Linked DNA regions of Lepisosteus oculatus. The protein of the gene in region 2 binds, or shares a complex with, the protein of the main gene of each other region. Links are inferred from orthologs where the notes say so. Each region holds a gene or a part of one and is shown on either strand. Other genes may lie near its edges. The genes, in order: gas8 and drc3.

Evidence for each region.
Region 1: drc3 (region 2) and gas8 share a complex: the UniProt entries of both Homo sapiens proteins name them as parts of the nexin-dynein regulatory complex. The link is inferred for Lepisosteus oculatus from reciprocal best matches to the Homo sapiens genes DRC3 and DRC4.

What each region holds. Positions count from the first base shown.
Region 1 is NC_090715.1:16,577,251-16,586,856, reverse strand, and holds the start of gas8 (dynein regulatory complex subunit 4), read right to left. Parts: upstream 3,834-9,606; 5' UTR 3,718-3,833; coding exon 3,715-3,717; intron 3,315-3,714; coding exon 3,216-3,314; intron 2,873-3,215; exon of another isoform or gene 2,827-2,872; coding exon 2,629-2,826; intron 1,589-2,628; coding exon 1,382-1,588; intron 1,239-1,381; coding exon 1,184-1,238; intron 483-1,183; coding exon 277-482; intron 1-276. Other genes in the region: dbndd1 (dysbindin domain-containing protein 1), read left to right, coding at 7,109-7,139. UniProt on the Homo sapiens protein: Component of the nexin-dynein regulatory complex (N-DRC), a key regulator of ciliary/flagellar motility which maintains the alignment and integrity of the distal axoneme and regulates microtubule sliding in motile axonemes.
Region 2 is NC_090714.1:17,590,145-17,599,216, reverse strand, and holds the start of drc3 (dynein regulatory complex subunit 3), read right to left. Parts: upstream 3,743-9,072; 5' UTR 3,433-3,742; intron 2,368-3,432; 5' UTR 2,336-2,367; coding exon 2,176-2,335; intron 1,842-2,175; coding exon 1,725-1,841; intron 1,313-1,724; coding exon 1,146-1,312; intron 552-1,145; coding exon 405-551; intron 1-404. Other genes in the region: TOM1-like protein 2, read left to right, coding at 4,096-4,147. UniProt on the Homo sapiens protein: Component of the nexin-dynein regulatory complex (N-DRC) a key regulator of ciliary/flagellar motility which maintains the alignment and integrity of the distal axoneme and regulates microtubule sliding in motile axonemes.

The DNA.
Region 1 (9,606 bases), on a different chromosome or scaffold from region 2:
AAAAATTAAATAAAAGCTGAAATTAAATAGTGTTTTTGTTGTTATTATTATTAACTGTCATTACTAAAAGTGGAAGTAAAGCTACAAATGTTTTAATATGAGCACCGAAGATTTCCAAAAACCTGAATATATTTGTAAAAGTCAAATAAGTATTTTGGCTTACAAATGGGATTCAAAATGTCCTCCACCTCAGTGTGTTTCACAGCACAAGGACAAGAGATCTCAGCCGGTCGGGAGCCTGGCCGCGAGAGGCACTTTGTGCTCCTCATTCCTTACTTTCAGCGAGTTGATCAGGGCCAGGTTGTTGAGGGTGATGTCGTTGTAGTAATTCTTGATGTCGCTGAAAGCCTTCTCGTGGTTCTTCATCAGCGTGTTGATCTGGCTGTTCTTCCTCTCCTCGATCTCGTGGATCTCCGTCTTCCGCCTGAGCTCCAGCTCCTCCCGCAACACCTGCATCTTCTTCTCATACTTTGCTTCTATTTCTGCTCAACGGGAAGTAAAGGAAAAAGGGCCTTTAAGAGGGATTATTAAACAATTAATATGAGGCAATTAATCAATTAATAAAGCAATTAAAAAATAAAACTTAATTCATATTTATTTTAGTTAAAACCAATAAGAACATTCACATATTTTGAAAGTACCCATCACAGACATCTAACTAGCAAGTTATCGGTTTGCCATACACAGAATATTAAATGAATATTAAAGAATTTTAGACTATGTATCAAGGGAAAAAATAATGAAGGCAACATCTACATTCGGAGCACATAAGCTATTTCTTTAACCATCCATCCATTTTTACTCTGCTTTTCCTGACGAGGGTTGTAAACTCCAGCAAAGAGTATTTTATTTTGTTTTTCATTCAAGATGCAGAGAATGGCAAACAATGACATTCTCATTTATCATCTAATGAAATACATTAGTCAGAGACAATGAATTCAGAGCTGTCTCTGTCTCGTGTTTCAGCACAAAGGCAGTAAGTCTCTGTCCAACAGCGAATATGAAAACACACAGCAATATTCTGACTGTTACAGATCTACATCACTAGGTGGAGCTATATATCAAGACTACAAGCGAAACAGTAAAATACAAATAGACAAACACAAATCCCAGTTTATTACTCATATCTATTGGCCTCTTAACTTGTAGAAGGGAAATGGCATTATTGAAAAGGAAGTTGTACCTCGCACTTGTCTTTCAAAATCATTCCTCAGTTTGGAAATTTCTTCATCGTGTTTCTATTCAGGTTGTAAGTGGAGAAAAAAGCTTAAATTAAGACTCGATCTTCCAGTTAAACACAGAGGACAATTAAAATGAAATATATATACAAACATATATATGATATATATTTTTAAATACATTTAAAAAAATGTCCACATACCAGTTTCAAGCTCTTGACCAAATTCTCATTGGCGAGTTCCTGCTCTTTTATATCCACCTTGAGCGTGCGCATACCCTTCCGCAGCTCGTCCTCCTTCTCGCTCTGCTCCTTCTGCATCAGCTTCGCAGAGATGACCCCTTCCGCCTTCAGCTCGGAGGTGCTGTTCTGATGTTCGTACAGCAGGTGCTTCACCTTCTGTTTGTACACCTGCCGAAACAATCCACAATATTCTGCAGCAGCACAAAAAGGACTACTATCAATGCAAACGAGTTCTGAAACAATAACCACATGAAAAGTAATCAGAGTGAAATTATATTAATTACTCCCCTGGGGATGAATGAAGTATTTTTTAACTGAATTATTGTTATTAATTATTCAGGTAACCTATTATTTTTTTACAGGCACCCACCATTCTCTTCAATGTTAAGGAAAATTGTAAGGTTATTATGATTGCATCTTGAAGTCATCAGGGCTATAATACACTCTGAGCATTTTGCTTAGAGACATAGATGTTCATAAAAAAAGAAAATCATTTAATGCACAATGTAAAATTTCAGCAATGATTTTGGATTGGAAGCCCTCTTCTAGGCCTTTATGGACTATGACAGAAACTGGGCACAAATAACGATCCTCACAGAAAACCGAGGCCAACAATCATACCAGTGATACTCTGTAAACCTTCATAAAACGACAAATCTGCCCTTAGTGGACGACATGTAACCACTAAAAGCCCTCAACACTCTTTACCAGCTCTATTTCATCCCATTATGAAGTGCACTCCTTGGTTGAGGGAGCTCAGGGCTCAAGGGAACGTCCCACGCAGGCTGAAGGACCAGAACCCTTCTCGGGGAGACCTGACCCAGGTGTTCAAACTCAGCACAGGTTTGATGCCCTTAACCCAGCGACCGTCTTCAGATAGAGCACCGATACATGAACCAGAGGAAACGGACGGAAGTGCATTTAGAAATGAGAACAGGAGCCCCTTCTTTACCCAAAGAGTGGTGGGAGTGTGAAACAAGCTGCCCGGCCATGTTGTTGAAGCCGATGCTCCGGCTTCTTTCAAGAAACAGCTGGATGAGACCCTGGGATCAATTAGCTACTGACTACCAAACAGACCAGATGGGCTGAAAGACCTCCTCTCAGTTGTCCTTTCTTACAGTATGTTCTTACCTTAAGTCATGTTTGTTCAATATTGGTAGGGGAAAAAAAATATTAGCAAGCCAAACAGAGCAGACAGCCCTCCTAACCTTGATTTCTACTTGGTGCCGCTCCTCGGAGTCCTCCATCTCCCGGTCCTTGTTCCTCAGCTCCGCCTTCTTCTCCTCCAGCTGGCGCTTGGTGATGTCCCAGAAGGTGTGGATCTTGTCCCTCTCCAGCTGGAAGTAGTTGCGCTCCTCCCTCTCCCGGTCCAGCTCCTCTCGCAGGCGGACAATGTGCTCCTCCAGCTGCACACAAGTAGCCACAGACTTGGAGGTGAGCCGAGCCTTGGGGCTGGAAACAGAGCGAGTGGACGCTTGCACAGGTGTAGCAGTGACAGGGAACGTGCTTCTCAGACTCTGCCAGGGACAAAATCTTGGACTCTCCTCAAATGCAAAGTCAAAACTCACCTTTTTACCACTGTCTGTGTCTGCCTGACACTGTCTGTCTGTCTTTACACACGTGTTTATGGTCGTTTATTTTTTTCTTTATTACTATTTAGTATGATTATTTATTATATTACTTTCTATACGATGTTTTATTTGGCAATTTAATGTCACATGTGCCTTTCTTTTAAACATTCTGAAACATAATACAACACGTCGCGACAGCGCACGAGTATATCGCCACAGCTCACCTGCTCCTTGGACATTTCCTCCGTGGAAATCCCGTCCACCACAGTGGGGCTCTTCCCCTTGGCCGACCCCTTCTTCCCTCCTTTCTTCTTCTTGGGAGGCTGGGAATAAGAGACGCGCCTCAGCCTTTTAAAACCTCCTATCAGATTTACTACTGAGTCCTCAGAACTCAAGATCAACAGCAGCAGCGTCCACAACACCACACACACACCACACAACACAACACACAACACACACCCCACAGAGCAAAACACAAAATACACACAGCACACACACACAACACACAATACACACACAGTAGCACGACGTCACGTCTGTCCAAAAGCTGAGTTGTTTAACAAAAGCATCTTAAACTATTCGACTGCATTATTACGCATAAAATCAATTCACTTGGACGCTTAGTTTTCACAGCGACGATCGTCAACCCCAAGGTGATCCTCATAAATCATGTTTCCAAAGCTACCGTAAGTAAAAATAAAAGTAAAATACATGCAGACTTACCATTTTCAAGAAACTATTGATTCTGAGTAAAAGGCAGGGGTGAAAATATTTTGCTGTTCTAGCAGAGCTGCTGTCGCGATTTGCAGCATCGGCCTACAGAGCAACACAGCGGTCTCCTGGCAACGGCCGTGCTCTCGCGAGAAGGACACGGAGCAGGAAACGCGCGTTTCCTGGCAACGCCAATAAACAAAATATGGAGATGAAATCGATTTGCATACAGTACATGTGAATGAAGGACAAATACTGTAGTCGTCTCCACTGTACCTCGTTAAAGGTTTGTTATGCGAATCAACACAAATAAATTCAGCATTTTTATGCTGGCACAAAAATGAGGAATGTTGTCTGCGGCAGACAACAGATAAGACACGTTTAGAAGACATGATTCGTTCAAATAGGTCTGTTTCAGTAATAGATGATGAAGTGAGAAGACAGAAGTCTCCATTAATTTGATATTGCCGCTTAGGTACCAAGTGTGGCCTGACAAAACAGCAGGTCCCTATGAATGGAAAAAATAAAAAGTATCTGAAGTAATCTTTTTCCATTTTTACTTGATGGGATGGTGCAGTGACACAGTGGTTAGACTGTGCTACCTTGCAGCGCTGGGTCCCTGAGTTCAGCTCCTGGGGTATATATGCATGGAGCTTGTCTCGTCTCCCTGTGTTCGCATGCGTTTCCTCCAGGTGCCCTGGTTTCTTCCCCCAGTCCAAAGACACCCTTGTAGGCTAATTGGCCATGGTGTGAGTGTTAGTGTGCACTGTGACGGATTGCTGGGATAGGGTTCTGTTCCCCTCAGCCCTAAACTGAAAGATGGAAGGAAATGTGTCTTGATTAAATCCTAATTTTTCCTCTGGCTACCCATCAAAGGCATTAATCTGTGAAAGAAATGGTGCATACACAAGTACTTCTATAATCAGCAGGCTGAGAAAATTAGGACAATAGTAGGAAAGACAATGTTAACGACAGCTTGTAAATAAAGATGGCTTCAAAAGACAAGTACGTTCAAATGAAGATGAAAAACTTTTAGATATCTACAGTACGTGTACTACAGTCAACCAATGTGAAAATATTTCATGTATTTATTAAAGATAAATACATAAACATATTTCTTTATCCATAATCCTGTACGAAAATAAACATCAACCTTGGCTTTCATTTAAAGGGTAAACAGATAAAAGAGGAGATTGGGCTGCCTTAGACATCGAGTTATTAACTAAAACCACAGCAAGATAATAAAATGTAATCCCAGTGATTTCAGTGATGTAGCTGTCCTGACAGTGCCCCAGAAATCCAATGAAAATCTAATTTTGATAAGAGAAATGTCAGATATTTCCAGCTCCTCCATTCACATTTCCCAAAATTAACATATGTCCAGACTCTTTAGCCTATTTTCACATAGAATTTAAAAGAAAATCCGTATTAGCATTATTTTTTTCTACGAATAATATGATAATATGAGTGACAAATAGCCAGCATGCATTTCAGATTTCATTTGTATTTTATTCACTTTCCCAGTGAATTAAGAGCACATTCGTTATACCTTTATGACTATGTGGGCCCCAGATGGTGAGCTTTACAGATTTATTGCATAAAATGAAGTTAATTTATATAAGAATAATACTATAATTCTGCTTTTCCAAGCATACGTGTGCCTCAAAATGTCAGTTAAATGTGAAATATATTTCTAAAACATCCCGTATTAAACAATTTACACAGGTGTTCAATTTTAGAAACTTTTCATAGTATTTCCTTTAAAGGTATTATTTTTGTTAAGAAAATGTAGGAAAAAAATTGAAAGAAGAAAAGGTCATCATAAACTGCAAAGCCAAACCCCCTGATTTTCGCAGTACAAACGCTGTTTCACTCCATGTAAACATACAGTACATGTTCTGTGGTGGCTGTGTTTCTTTCAGGTCTCCACTTAACAATGAGAGCACAGTATCTCCTCCAAATCGTACCAGCTATTCAGTACAGGACCCCTAACCTTTTCTTTTCATAGAGCAGGAGATTACAATCTGGAGGGTGACAAATTATTTTTAGGATGTGATGCAATCGCATGCTGTGATATGTCCAATCCCAGTCCACTATCCAGTCAAATACTGTACATTTCACTTCCTGGTAGATTCAATAATTCAGCGAGATCTGTGATGGATTGGCATCTCTTGTCCAAGGCATATCCCGCCTTGCGCCGGTGGTTAGAAAATGGAGTCCTGTGGGATTACTTTACAGGGTGTCACTGCTCTATGCCCTTCATTTCTTCATTGCCTACAAGTGACACCCACCCAGGCACATTTTCACCTCTTTAAAAGAACACAAAATACACACCCTAACCCTAACCCTAACCCTTTAAAAGAACACCACATCATATCACTGTATCACCAGTTGTTCATACTACTAGCAAACATCTGCACCTTCGTGATGAGCTGTATGTGTATTGTTGAGCAAAGAATAAGTTTTCTAGCATTTAATTGGACTGAGTTGCAGTGACTTCATTTCTGAAGCTTTTCAATTATTTAAAATTATTCTGAATGTGTTATTCCAGTTCTGTTCCAATGCTAGTTTTTTGCTGTTTTCCAGTGTGTACAATATTTAAGATATTAACTCCACAGAATGCCTTTAAGAATAAAGAATGAACACTACTTGTCTATTGAAGAATCACTCAAAAAACAAAGGGTACTCAGAGAGCCCTAATCTCATGCATGTGTTTAACTCTTATGAAAATTTTATAGCAGAGAAAAACCATGTCAGAAGAGCTGAATGCATAATGGGGAATTTCCCTCAGGCTACCTTCAAATGGGAACATCTGAAAAAATCAAACTTTCATTTCAACAGCAAGCACTTAAGGTTTAAACCTTGATGGGAAGAATCGGGCGTTAGGTTTTGTGCAAATTGGATGGTGTCTTCCAGCCCTACATGAATAGCTTTACTCCACGCTAACAGGAAGTGGATGGATGATTTCCTCTTTGATTTAGGTGTGGCTCAGTGCTACACACACAAAACCCTGAGCTCGCACTCCACACCCCTCCCACCACCCCCCCCATCCAGATCTGGATGATCGCCAGTGTGTCTTGCATTCTGCTCTCTCTCTCTCACTCTGCTTTTTTTCTGCAGTCTCCCTTCCCGAGCTCATTTACAATGCAATGCTTACAGTGTAGCGTGGCTCTGCAATTTGCAAAGTGATCTTTGCTTGCATGGCAACATGTTTGTGCTGGTGCAATGCCCAGGGTGGTGATTTTGCGGGGATACTCCGGCTGTGAGGATCGGTGAGGGTGTTGCTGGTGTCTGATGCCGTGGAGAGTGCAGCCAGCGCCTCGCTCTGCCTTGCTGTCTCCTTCCCTTTCTCTCTTCCTGTCTCATGCTGCTGCCTTAGACAGCCCCGGACACACCACCTGCCTGGATGGACGCACAAGGAGGGGCAGGTACCCCAGGTGGGTGCACCGCGTTTCAGTTTCACAGACCGGTAGATCTTAGAGCGATCCGAAACATTTCCTTTCAGTACAAGAAACTTGCTGCTGCTGTCTGGCTCTGCTTGTAGGGCTCTCGGGGACTTCACGTGTACAATTGTGAAGAAAAGAGCATAAACCGTCTGTTTTAATGGTAAATGTTGCAGCTCACTTGTGTGTTTCTGCAGAGGTCTTAGCGTGCTTTGAAAGCTACATCACTACACTGAAAAACACAAGATAAAATTACACTGTGTAGAACAGCCTACCTCCTAAAGACAGTCTTGCAGAGCCAGAGAAAGATAAGACATGTCTTACTTTGCCTAGGACTCCTCTGTGCTGATTTTGTTTTGGCTGGAATATTCATCTCTGTCACTGTAAAAACTGCAGAGCCAGTAAGCTGGTCCGGGATCTCAGGATCAGCTCATTTAAATGGGCGACTCACCAGGAGCCCAGTGTCATGGTGCAGAGGTCCCATGTGCTCAGACAGACGGGACCACAAAGCTTAGTACTGGCCTGACACACAAAATTGTTTCCTCTGACAGGCAGGTCAACACAAAGACTTGAGGAACCAGGGAGAAACCACCCTCCCCTCCCCACCCCCTCCAAGCACAGGTCTTGCTGCAGACCCCGAGCGTTTTGAATAATATGAATACTGGAAGAGTCAAAAGTCAGGATCACCATGAAAATGACCAGCGGAGAAGAAAACAAAAACGCCCAAAACAAAGCGTTTGCTACATTCAGTTGTCAGCTCAGGGACACAATGTGCAATCGTTTCCAAACTAGGAAACAGTCCCATCATTAGATCTTTATCTTTATAGGTTAACTGTAGAGATCACAAGAGTACAGTAGAAAAAAGGTCTCAAGGATTTCCACATTAATACGAATTACTTAATAGTGCCCCTTCAAAGAATTTTGTGAATGTTAGAGAATTATAATACAATTGCCATGCTGCTTACAACTCCTAGTCCCAAAAGATCTTCTCTTAATATTGTGACAGATTCTGTCAGGGAAGAAAGGAAACCATGAGCTGCAGCATAAACAGACTTATACATTCAGTAGTAAAGTACAGTATGTAAAATGGATGGAAAACAAATTACTTTATACTCGCACCATTATTTATGTATATAGCAGTATTCAAGATACTTAAGAGAGCTTTATCGTCCTATCAAACGGTTACAAATATCAATATCGTTATCAGTACGGTGGCCTTGTTGTTAGGATTTGTTACCGAGCTTAATGTTTCGGGTATTTAGAAATGAGAAGCGTTTATTTAGATCCCGAGTCTGAGCTGTCCCACCTATGTGTCTTCCAACTAGAGCTCACAACAAACCAATGTCCTTCCAAAGTAAAGAAAAAAAATATAATTTAAATGAGAGGCTATGCAATTTTTGATCTCCCGTGGTTTACCGTAACGTGAACTGCGTCAAAAGCGTTGTGTCACTGCAAAAGTACTGGACAAAATGTTTGAAGAAGACGAGTAACATTACACCTGTAACTTACCATAATTAGTTAACACTGCAATAAAATCCATAATTAAATTGTGGCCTGACTCGCTGTGCCTGTTCTAAGGGTTAAAAAGCTATTGTGTTGTGTGGTGAGGGACTCTCGTTACAGTGAAACCAGAGCCCAGCGTGTTTAGACTGCGCTTGCTTTCACTTATCCTGGACTCGCAAATTCGCCCTCGGTCTGGCACGGTTTACAACTCCCACAGCCGTGAGCGACATCACTTCCCTCCGAAACGCGTCCGCAAATCATTTTCTGCCGGAGTGTAGTGTCCGCTCCGCCGCCTGTTGCAGCAGAAGCACTGGTGTTGTTCCCGAGTCGGACCGGAGACGGTTCAGCTCGAGAGATCGCAGCGGCACTTGCGGTCTCTGACCAGCCGATGCAGCAAAAGGTGAGGACATCTCCGATGAAGAACCGCAGGGCATTATTATTCATGCCCTTTCTGACCAAGAAGCACTGCAGTTTGCTTTCAGGACAAGACAACATCATATTCCATTAGTTACCTACTCTAGTGACTAAATGTTGTGTCACCAAATTTCCTAGCGAATTTTCCAGAGAACCTAACCATCAGCAAACAAGAAGAATACACAAACATTGAACATAAATGACTCATTTTAACGGGAAAAAAAGTTTATATTAAATTAAGCTCTTCCTAAATCATGGATCTCTGGCTCTAGCTTCTGCTGTTCCTAATGTGACAGAACTACACTGCAAATACTGACATACAACATACTGTGTACTGTTTAACAGGGCTCACAGTTTAAGGGTTTATTTCAATTTTTTAAGACTTTTTTCGTGGGTGACAAATGTCCTATGAAATGTACCTCTGTCCTCAGAATAGTATGTTCACTAGCAATGCAAAATGCTGTCTTGTCTCCAGTCTCAGAGCTTGCCCTGGGTGACACGCTGCAGGAAATTATAACGGAATATGGCAGCACGTTTATGGATG
Region 2 (9,072 bases):
CAGGATCCCCCCAGGCTGATTAACTACAAACCTTAATCCACTTCAGTCACTCGGTTGTTGGGTTAATTTGTCTTAGTTATAGATTTAAGAAATTTAGATCCAGTTCTGACCCTGGAAGGCTGTGATGTATCTACAGAAGCAGTACCTGCAGTGCTGGGAGAGGTGGTTAAATTAGTCCAACTGAGTCAATAACAAGCTGAATTAGCTTATTAAGAGCTGAGCTAGAATGAAAACTACCAGACACACAGATCCTCCAGAACCAGGACTAAACAGCCCTCCTTTAGATACACAAACTATGCCCAAGTGCTTGCAGTTGTTCATGCATGTGGGACCCTGGTCTTCCTGGAGGACAGCTCAGCAGGGCCGTGATACCTGACCAGGTGAGACAGCATGAGGTGACTCACGGTCTGCTCATCCAGCAGCCTGAAGTCCAGGTAGACCAGGTTAGGCAGGTAGGCTGTGATGAAGGTCTTATAGTTTTCATCTTTGTGAACGGGGTTTCCAGCCAAGTTCAGCGTGCGCAGCCTCTTCAACCTCCGCAAGTAAACCACCTACAAAAACAGAGGGAAATGGCAATACAGAAGATGAATTCACAGAATGTTTTTTTGGTTTTCTGCTCTACCTGCAGAGCATATTTTCTGGTGAGGTACAGATGGTTCAGTGTAAGTGTAGTCCTTGTGCATTTTGTCATGCTACTTCACATTTGCTGGATAGGCCTGTCAGTTGCTGAAATAAAGTACCTGGCAAAGTTCTTTCACAGTGAAAGACTTGTCACAAAACAAACTGCATCTCACTTTTGTACGATCACATTTCTTTTTCCCTCTCAAGACAATATTTAAAGCTAAATATTAAAATTTGTACACAAAATAAATGTGAAACAGCTCAGTCCCACTAAACTTTCTTTCTAAATTTAGAATCACCTACCTATTGCGTCCTGCCCTCCTCAAGTACACTATAATTGCCAGTGATGTGTTTTTGTGTCTCCGAATGCAGCTGCAAACCCTGCGATCACCCAGGGGGAGAATGAGGAAGTTTAGAAAGGCTGCCCCAACCCGCCCACTTCAAGCTCACTGCCTTTTAATTGTTTCAGGCACTAAACAGGTGTCTGTCGGGCGTTTGAGTGTGACTTCATTGCCGAGCCTTACGTTGTCCAGCTGGGCCAGGCAGTTATTTCCCAGGGAAAGGACCTGCAGCTGCTGAAGGGAGTCCATATTCTCGATGACGGAGATCCTGTTGTTGTACAGGCTTAGATCCTCCAGCTTCACCAAAGAGTCCAAACCCTCAATCACCTCAATATTGTTGAAAGAGAGGTCTGAGAGAAAAAGCGGTAGAGCTTGTTGGTAAAAGTCACACTGTGAATATTTATTTTAGTAATAACTTTATTTACTTTACAGAGTATATTTCATTGAATGTTATGATGAGGGAAAAGAGGTCCTGTAAAATATGTTCACTTAAACACAAATGAAATAAGTCAGACATTATTTTTGTGGTGTATAACTGTAATGCTACCTCACATTTTGATAGGAGATATTAACGATGGAGAACTTGCATCTCAGTCATAGAGGCTTCTTGACATTCAACTATTCTGACCTTGTCATAAGCTACTGCAAATGAACACAGCAGATAAAATGGAGTTAATTGTATTGCACCTCACCACGGGTCTGGTCTGTAAGTGTCTAATCCTTAAATTGGGATTCCCTGCATCCTGGTACTCTGCTACCTACCAAGCCACACCAGGTTGGTCAGGCAGTCCAGCCCTTCGATCTTCTCAATGATGTTGTTGTCCAGCTGCAGCTTAGTCAACGCGGTGAACTGCCACAGGTGGTCAATCTTCAGGATGTCTGTGAAAAGGCACAAAGAGCAACAGTTTTCCTGAGAAAACAGTCTTCTCAGCTGGTGCTGACATGCAACAGTAAAATCAAAACATAGCCACCAAAAAAAAGGATCAGCAGAATTGCTTTTTTAATGCCCCTCAGACTCCCCAACAGAATGAACATGTAACGCCACTTCGTTGTACTTGTTGTGTGTAATTAACCAGAGTAGAAAGAAGCTCTATGATGGCCTGGAGGTTGCCCTAATAGGGCCTTTGCTAAATAAATCTGCCCAAGGACTCAACAGCTGCATCACATCTAACCAATAATCCCCACGACATCCCCAGCGCCCCCTGGGACTCACTCCTGTAGTCCAGGCGCAGCTGGCACACCTCTCCATACTGGATGCCCTCCTCCTTGGCGATGCTCCCGGCCTGGTCCTGGGGTCCCTGCTCCTCCACGGCCTTCTGAAGCATCTGCTCATCCACCACGCTGGGCTCCACGGTGTCGTACAGCCGGCTCATGCTTTCGTTGGCCCTGTTACTGCTTCTGCCTGCTCCCAGGCAAAAAACACACACACACACAAGCAACTCCTGGAGCGGTTGCATTAAATGATACCACTTTTTAAAGACTGGAAGACAATGAGCTCCACCACCTAATGATTGCTTCACCCATGATAAACAGGCTTCACCTATGAGCATTCTGCCCCACCCCCTTCCCAGAAAAATAAGATCTGTGGCTCTTTAACCAAGAGGATTTGGAACAGAAAGTAAAAGAGACGAGAAGTGTTCGTTTTGGAGTACTGGGAGGATATATGCTGAAAGGTGATAGCTGTTGGACACAGAGGCCTGATGCCACCAAATGGGAGCAGTTTGTGCTTTGCAGTGTGTAGTCTGCCTCTGAGGCCTGACCGCACTGGTGAAATATTAATGCTGTTCAGGTATCAAGATGCTGTGTCTTTGAACTGTGAAGGCTGAGGGACTTTCAGTATCTCAAACAGCTGTCACACAGCGTGGTCAAGGTCTGGTTAACAATCTCACTACTAATTCATGAAGCAGGCAATCCGACTGTACCCAAAATGTCAGTTTGTGCAGCGCTGCACGCCTTCGCTGTAGCTAAATTTGTAGCTAGAGGTCTCTCTGATGCAGGAGAAGGAGACAGATTAGTAGGGGACACAAAGAGATGCAGTTTGAAAATAGGATCCCAAAATACGCCCGGTGTTTAAATGCTAATGCAAACGTTCACGTCTCGTTTAACGGAAGGGAGGCATCTTTGAATTATCATGTTTTACAGAGAAAGGCATCTTAAATTCAAGGTTCCTGTTGTAAAGAGCTACTTTTTCTAGACGGCATTGCAGTGTTTACTCATTCATTACCTACTGAAACGGGAAAAACAACAATATTCGCAATTCACTTCGCAAATAAAATTACAAGCAAGAGAAAACGAGCACAGACATGACGGATTCGACATTTTTAACATGAAGTTATGCATAAATAATAATATAAAATGTATGAATAATACCGATACACATAATATTCTCACGATCAAATTAGTTTATTTCAAAGACTTTAGCAATTAGTGCAGTTTAGTTTTAAAAAAAAAGAATAAGACACCAACATACCAGTTGCAAAGCTAGTAAATCGTAATTTTGAGAAATTAAACTCTTCTCTGAAGACCCGCCTATTGCCAGACGCTTTTCACGTTACTTAGCAACCAAACACTCAACGCATCTAAATTAATTATAAAAACGTATGTAACCTAGGCTTTACAACCTCCGTTTTCCACAATAACTTGTTGATAATCCTTGTAAATAAAATGTTTTTATTTCCACATTTTATTTTTGTAATTTAGGCAAGATTGACAAACGCCTACGCCTATAAAAGATAAAAGCGCCATCAACCCGCCCCCTGCCCCGCCGAGAAGGACGTAGACCTTTACGCACCAATCCGATTGGAGGGTTACATCGCTCTCAGCCAATCAGAACGATTGCTTCGCGCGAGGGCTGGGGTGAACAACCAATCAGTACAGCTGGTCCATCGCGCAGATCTTAACCAATAGCAAATCGCCTTAGGCCAGCCGGCCCCTGGGAGGGCCTGCGGTATGCCCACCAGCGATCGCCCCCTAGAGGTGGCGTCTGCGTAGGCTTTAACTTGGAACGACGTGGAGGTTGGCCAATTAGATCGAAGCTTTAGCCCCGCCGCCCAATCAGCTGCTCAGGGGGGCGGAGACAGCGGGAGCTCCTCTGTTCAGTGCCTGTCAGTGAGGATTGTTTGTTGTCATCAAGATGGAGTTTTTATTGGGAAATCCGTACAGCACTCCGGTGGGGCAATGTATAGGTAATTGTGATTTATGTTTGTGTTTTCAGAGCTTTAACACTCATACGCATCATATTGCGTAGGTATTTTCGTGTTTTGGAGGAGTGTAAAGAGCTGTTTTGTGTGTTGTATGTCACGCAACTAATTGAATTACCAGCTCTATCCTAGCTCCTGTCTAAATGTGGTTGGCTTTTTATGGTTATTTTCCAGAGTGAAATAAGATTTGTTTTTGTTAATAATGTGTTAAATATCGTCTTCTGTATGTTTGAAGTGTGTTAGAGCTCGGGTATCGCCTGCCTCGTTTTTATCGCGATGCTCTTGAAAATGTTTGCTGTGTGGAGAGAAATATTCTCATTACAGTTTGAAACTCGCCATTCACAACAGCGACAGTTAGTCACTTTGTTCGACGGTGTCTGCTTTATTCTTTTTGTTAAGGGCGATGAACTGAGGGGTCCATTAAATACGTCACTTTCCAGAGATACCGTAAACGTAACTTTACCCAGACAGGTTACATATTTACGGTAGAGTGTCGTAAAATGAGCCCCGAGATACGTGCTATTTTGTATGCTTAAGAAACTTACAAACACACTCTTTGCGCTATAGAAAATAGATTGAGCTGGCCTGGAATTGCGTGATGTACAATCTTGCTGTGATGTAATGTACCAGGATCTCTGGCGACAGGACTTATTACCCTCGATTCGCAATCCTTGTGTTTTCACGCTTTTGAAGTCTTGCTTCCGGAGAAGGCATGAGTGCTGTGGGGGTATATCAGTGTATTCGTCGGGGAAATCAGAATAAAAGCGTTTCACGGTGTGTCGATTAATTAATCAGTGAGGAAATTCAATACAAGAGTCGCGTATTTCCACTGTAGAGATAGGGGGCGGCCTTAGAACCGCCTTTAGCGGATGGTGGTGAGTTGTAGTCTCATCGTGCCCTTCAGTTAAAACCATTTTTGTATGGTGAAGCCATGTACTGTACATAGCATTGGCAAAATATCGGGGCGTTAGTGCAACAGTATGTTAGTGTTCATGCCTGTGCGTAAGAAAGAGATCCTTTCTCTCAGGTGCCCTGAGCTTTCTTCCTATGGGCTCGACAGCTGATTCACAATGCAGAGAAAATAATGTCAAAAGTTGTAGAGGCTGTTTTACAACTGCCTACTTCAAGTTCAGCAAAAGAAGAAAATACAGTTGGATCTCTGCGATCGCAGTCCGAGAGCGTGTGCCCTGAGACCTCAGCAGTAAACCCATCAGAACACAAGACAGGAGACAAACAAGCAGAGACCCTTCGGCCCGGCTAGCCTGGTCGGCAATGAGGAGTTCACTGATCCAGGGATGTCATCCAGCTGTTTCCTGAATGCTATCAACTGCAGCTAATGTTGCTGGGTAACATGTTCAGTAATCCCACAGCCCTTTGCATGAAGTACTGTTTCCAGTTCTTAGTTTTAAATCCACTTCTCTGTAGTTTCCTGTGACAATTATGACTGTTTTTTTTGTGGCTTCCCAGTTGCTGACCATCTCTCATTATTTCATATTCTGCAAAGGTGATCCTCTCCTGGAAGCGAGTTTCTGTTCATTTTCACTTGGTAGCTCCTAACCAGCAGTTGAGCAGTGGGGATCTGCCGATGAGCTAGTGTGTATTGTACAATGGTGGTCAATCTGTCATTCTGACAGTTCTCTGCACAGATTTTTTTGTTGTCCAGAGAACTGACAAACAGTTTTTTTCTTAACACACCAAAAAGAATGATTAAATCTGACAATGCTGGTTATCACAACTTGTGTTCCTGTGGAGTGTAACTGCGGGCACACTGTGCGGTGCCGTAATCACTGTGCGATTGTGCGATTGCTATAAGAGTGTGAGACCGCAGGCTCGCTGCTTGAATGAGTTTGAGTGGGTCTCATGTGTCAGGGCCAGGGACTGCTCTTTTCACGGGCAAAAGGGCAGTGTGCTTCTTTGCCGTCACAGTCTGTGAGTCCTTTATGATGGGGCCAGTTTAATCTGAGCAGTGAGTTCTGCGGTTATTTTTGTGCTCCGCTGCATTTGCTTGGTGTGCTGATTGTTATGCAGTGGAGAGTGTTTCTCCATGATGCAGGGCTTCTTTGCTCTTGAAATCTTTTTTGAGATATGCCCTGATAAGAACTGGAGCTCCTCAGCAGCTTTTATTAGCTTGGGTGCAATAGCGGTGGTGCTATAAGGGTTGGACTCAGCCCAGAAGATAACACTGGTGTGCACAGAATAAAAGTAAGGCCTGAACACTGTGGAGTTTTAAAGCCTTATCCACGATGGGACTGAGAAGACTGCAATATATCAGACAGCTCTTCCTTGTCAGTTTTACTCTTCCAGTTTGCAGTCTCATTTTGTAGTTATAACTGGATGACTGAGTTCGTGAAAGAGTGACCTTTACTGTGTGAGACCCTGCCTAAAACAGGGTTTGTAGAGACTGGTTTTCTAGCTTTCACAAGTGTGGCTCAGGAGCGAAGAAGCCTGTGTTTACACTGATGTGACAACAGGACATTGCGAGGCTGGTGTTTCTGGAGGTCAGAAATCTTTCTGTGTTAGTTGTGTGACGTCCAGACATGTTCATGCTGTGTCCAAGTGTGGTAGTGAAGTACAGTACCCTAAGCCTCTGAGGCTGTTGTAAACTAGAGCTGTCACAGAGATTTAAGTCTAAATTTAATATAATAATGTGCATCCTTTCCAGATCAGATTGACCGATAGATTAATCTGGAAGCATTTGTTTAGATGTAGTACTTCTGGCAACACTGGTAATTATCGTTTGTATTTAATAGCTTACAGGCAAATGCCAACCACATACTTTATGAGAGCCTCTCCCTGCCAATCCTGCCAGTCCCCATCAGCATGTGGATTTGTTGTGTACTGCTTTCCAGATGGGAGGAAGACAGTTTGGCAAAGCATAGCAGCTGCTCCAGAACCCAGACAGATGTTTGTAGTTTTGCTCATCTCAAGTGTTATGTTTCTGAATGCATTAGACCCAAATCTTGTGTCATTTTTGCATCCTCTTTGCAGAGTGTCAACAGAAAAGAAGGAATTAACGCACACGCCCTACCAGAGAGCCAGAATATTTCATTGATCCACTTTATGCACAACAGGATTAATGATACTGACGCAGACACGGTTATAAATTTATATGCAAATAAAAAAATCGATTTTGAGTTGTGTGCAAAAGCCGTGTGTGTTTTGTCTTTAACTGCTGTCTCAGCCTCTGGCCAGTGATGATTAGCAACCAGATGAGATATCTGGTTCGAATGGCGTCCTCTGGTCTGCAGGCTTCCTCGTGTTTTTATAACTGTCCGATCCAGGAGAGGTCAAAGACCTCCCCTCTAGAACAGCAGCCTTATGAGTAGAGCACTTGATTGTGCTGATCCGGGGAATGTCCACAGGGCTCTCCGTTTTCCTCTTTCGAAGTCACCTCTCTCGACGTCTGCAGAGGTTTGGCTGGGCAGGCTGCAGCATGTTTTCTGTGAGCAGCTGACGGCAATAACTGCAAAATCAGTCTTAAACAAAAGCAGGCATGCCACTTTTCCCTCTTTGGCAGGGACCAGGCGACCACCTGACCCAATGCATTTTAATGATGTAGCTTTTCTGTGCTTCATGCATTGGTCTCCCTGTTGCGGGGTGTTCGCCTTTACTCAATTAAAAGTGCCCTGCCTGTTCTTTGCACCATAATTTAATCTGGAGCTCCGAGTCACTATGGAGACGGAACCAAGCAATATCCCAGAAGCAGAAGGCAATTTAATGACCTGATGGAAGTGCAGTGTTTTTACTTCAGCATCTGCAGCTTTCTTCTGTGATGTTGTGCAAGCAGTGCAGTCCTACAAGGATGGGCTTTTGAGTTCAAGCAATTCCACTCTTGACATACTGTCTTGTAGAAGTGCAGTAGCCTGTTTTCTGTGCAGTGGAGATCTGGGCGTCGTATTCGTATCATTTTAACCTCCACACTGATCCCCATTTGGCAAAGAAGTGCAGCAGAGATGTGAAATGTCACATACATCTATGATGGAACATATTTAAGGAATCCTGATATTTAAGGAATCTTTGTAGAATTAGGGTTATTTTTAACCTTTTGAAGTGTGTTCTAAAGTTACCATGCCAGGAAGTTGTTGATCTCCTTGTGATTTTAACACAAGCACATACAGTATAAACACCTAGATTATAGGTGCTACACACTACCAACACTCTGTATCTGAAGAATAAATATGATAATATAGTCAAAACCTCACTGGACCAGCAAATTCCCAAAGTGGCTTGACCAGTTTGTCTTAAAGCAAAATATGAGCAAAAACAAAGTTGTTTTTAATGCTGTTTGCTGTGGCACTATTCTCTGATGGCTGCATTGCAAGGATTCTTGCAATTTGAAGGTTGCCGTGTTGTGGCTGCAATCTCTGTAGGATGAACTGCATTGAGATGCTTTGCTGTGGTTTATGTAGGTTGAAATGATGTATTTTGTGGCAGAGATTGCAGCAGAAATAGACCGCGTGCACACAAAATATAGACACACACCCAAGATGCACGGCCAGGGAAAAATATGGAGGTACGACAGGGTTTGCCACGGTCAGGATACTGGTGAAGCAGTAAGCCTTATCACCAGATTAAGACCCTGGGATCAGGGATGATCAACCCGCCTGCTTGCCTTTGAGCTCAGGTATAAAGAGGAAAGTTTCAGTCAGGGAGTTGTCCTGTCAATGAGCTGATTGGAGCTTCTCATTAACTAAGAGACTGTTTGCAGAGTCACTAGGGAGAGAGAGCGGCCCTGCAGCTCCTCGGGAGGAGAGGCTCTCAGGCTGTCGCGGCGCTCGTGAGCCTCGGGCTGCAGGCTCCTTGGAGGAACCCTTGCTGCCAGCCTGCCTCCCAGCGGGGTCCGGCGTCCCCCCTCCCACCTCTTCTCTTCGGAGGGGCAGCGAGACGTTGGCGGCTGCCGTAATTGGCTT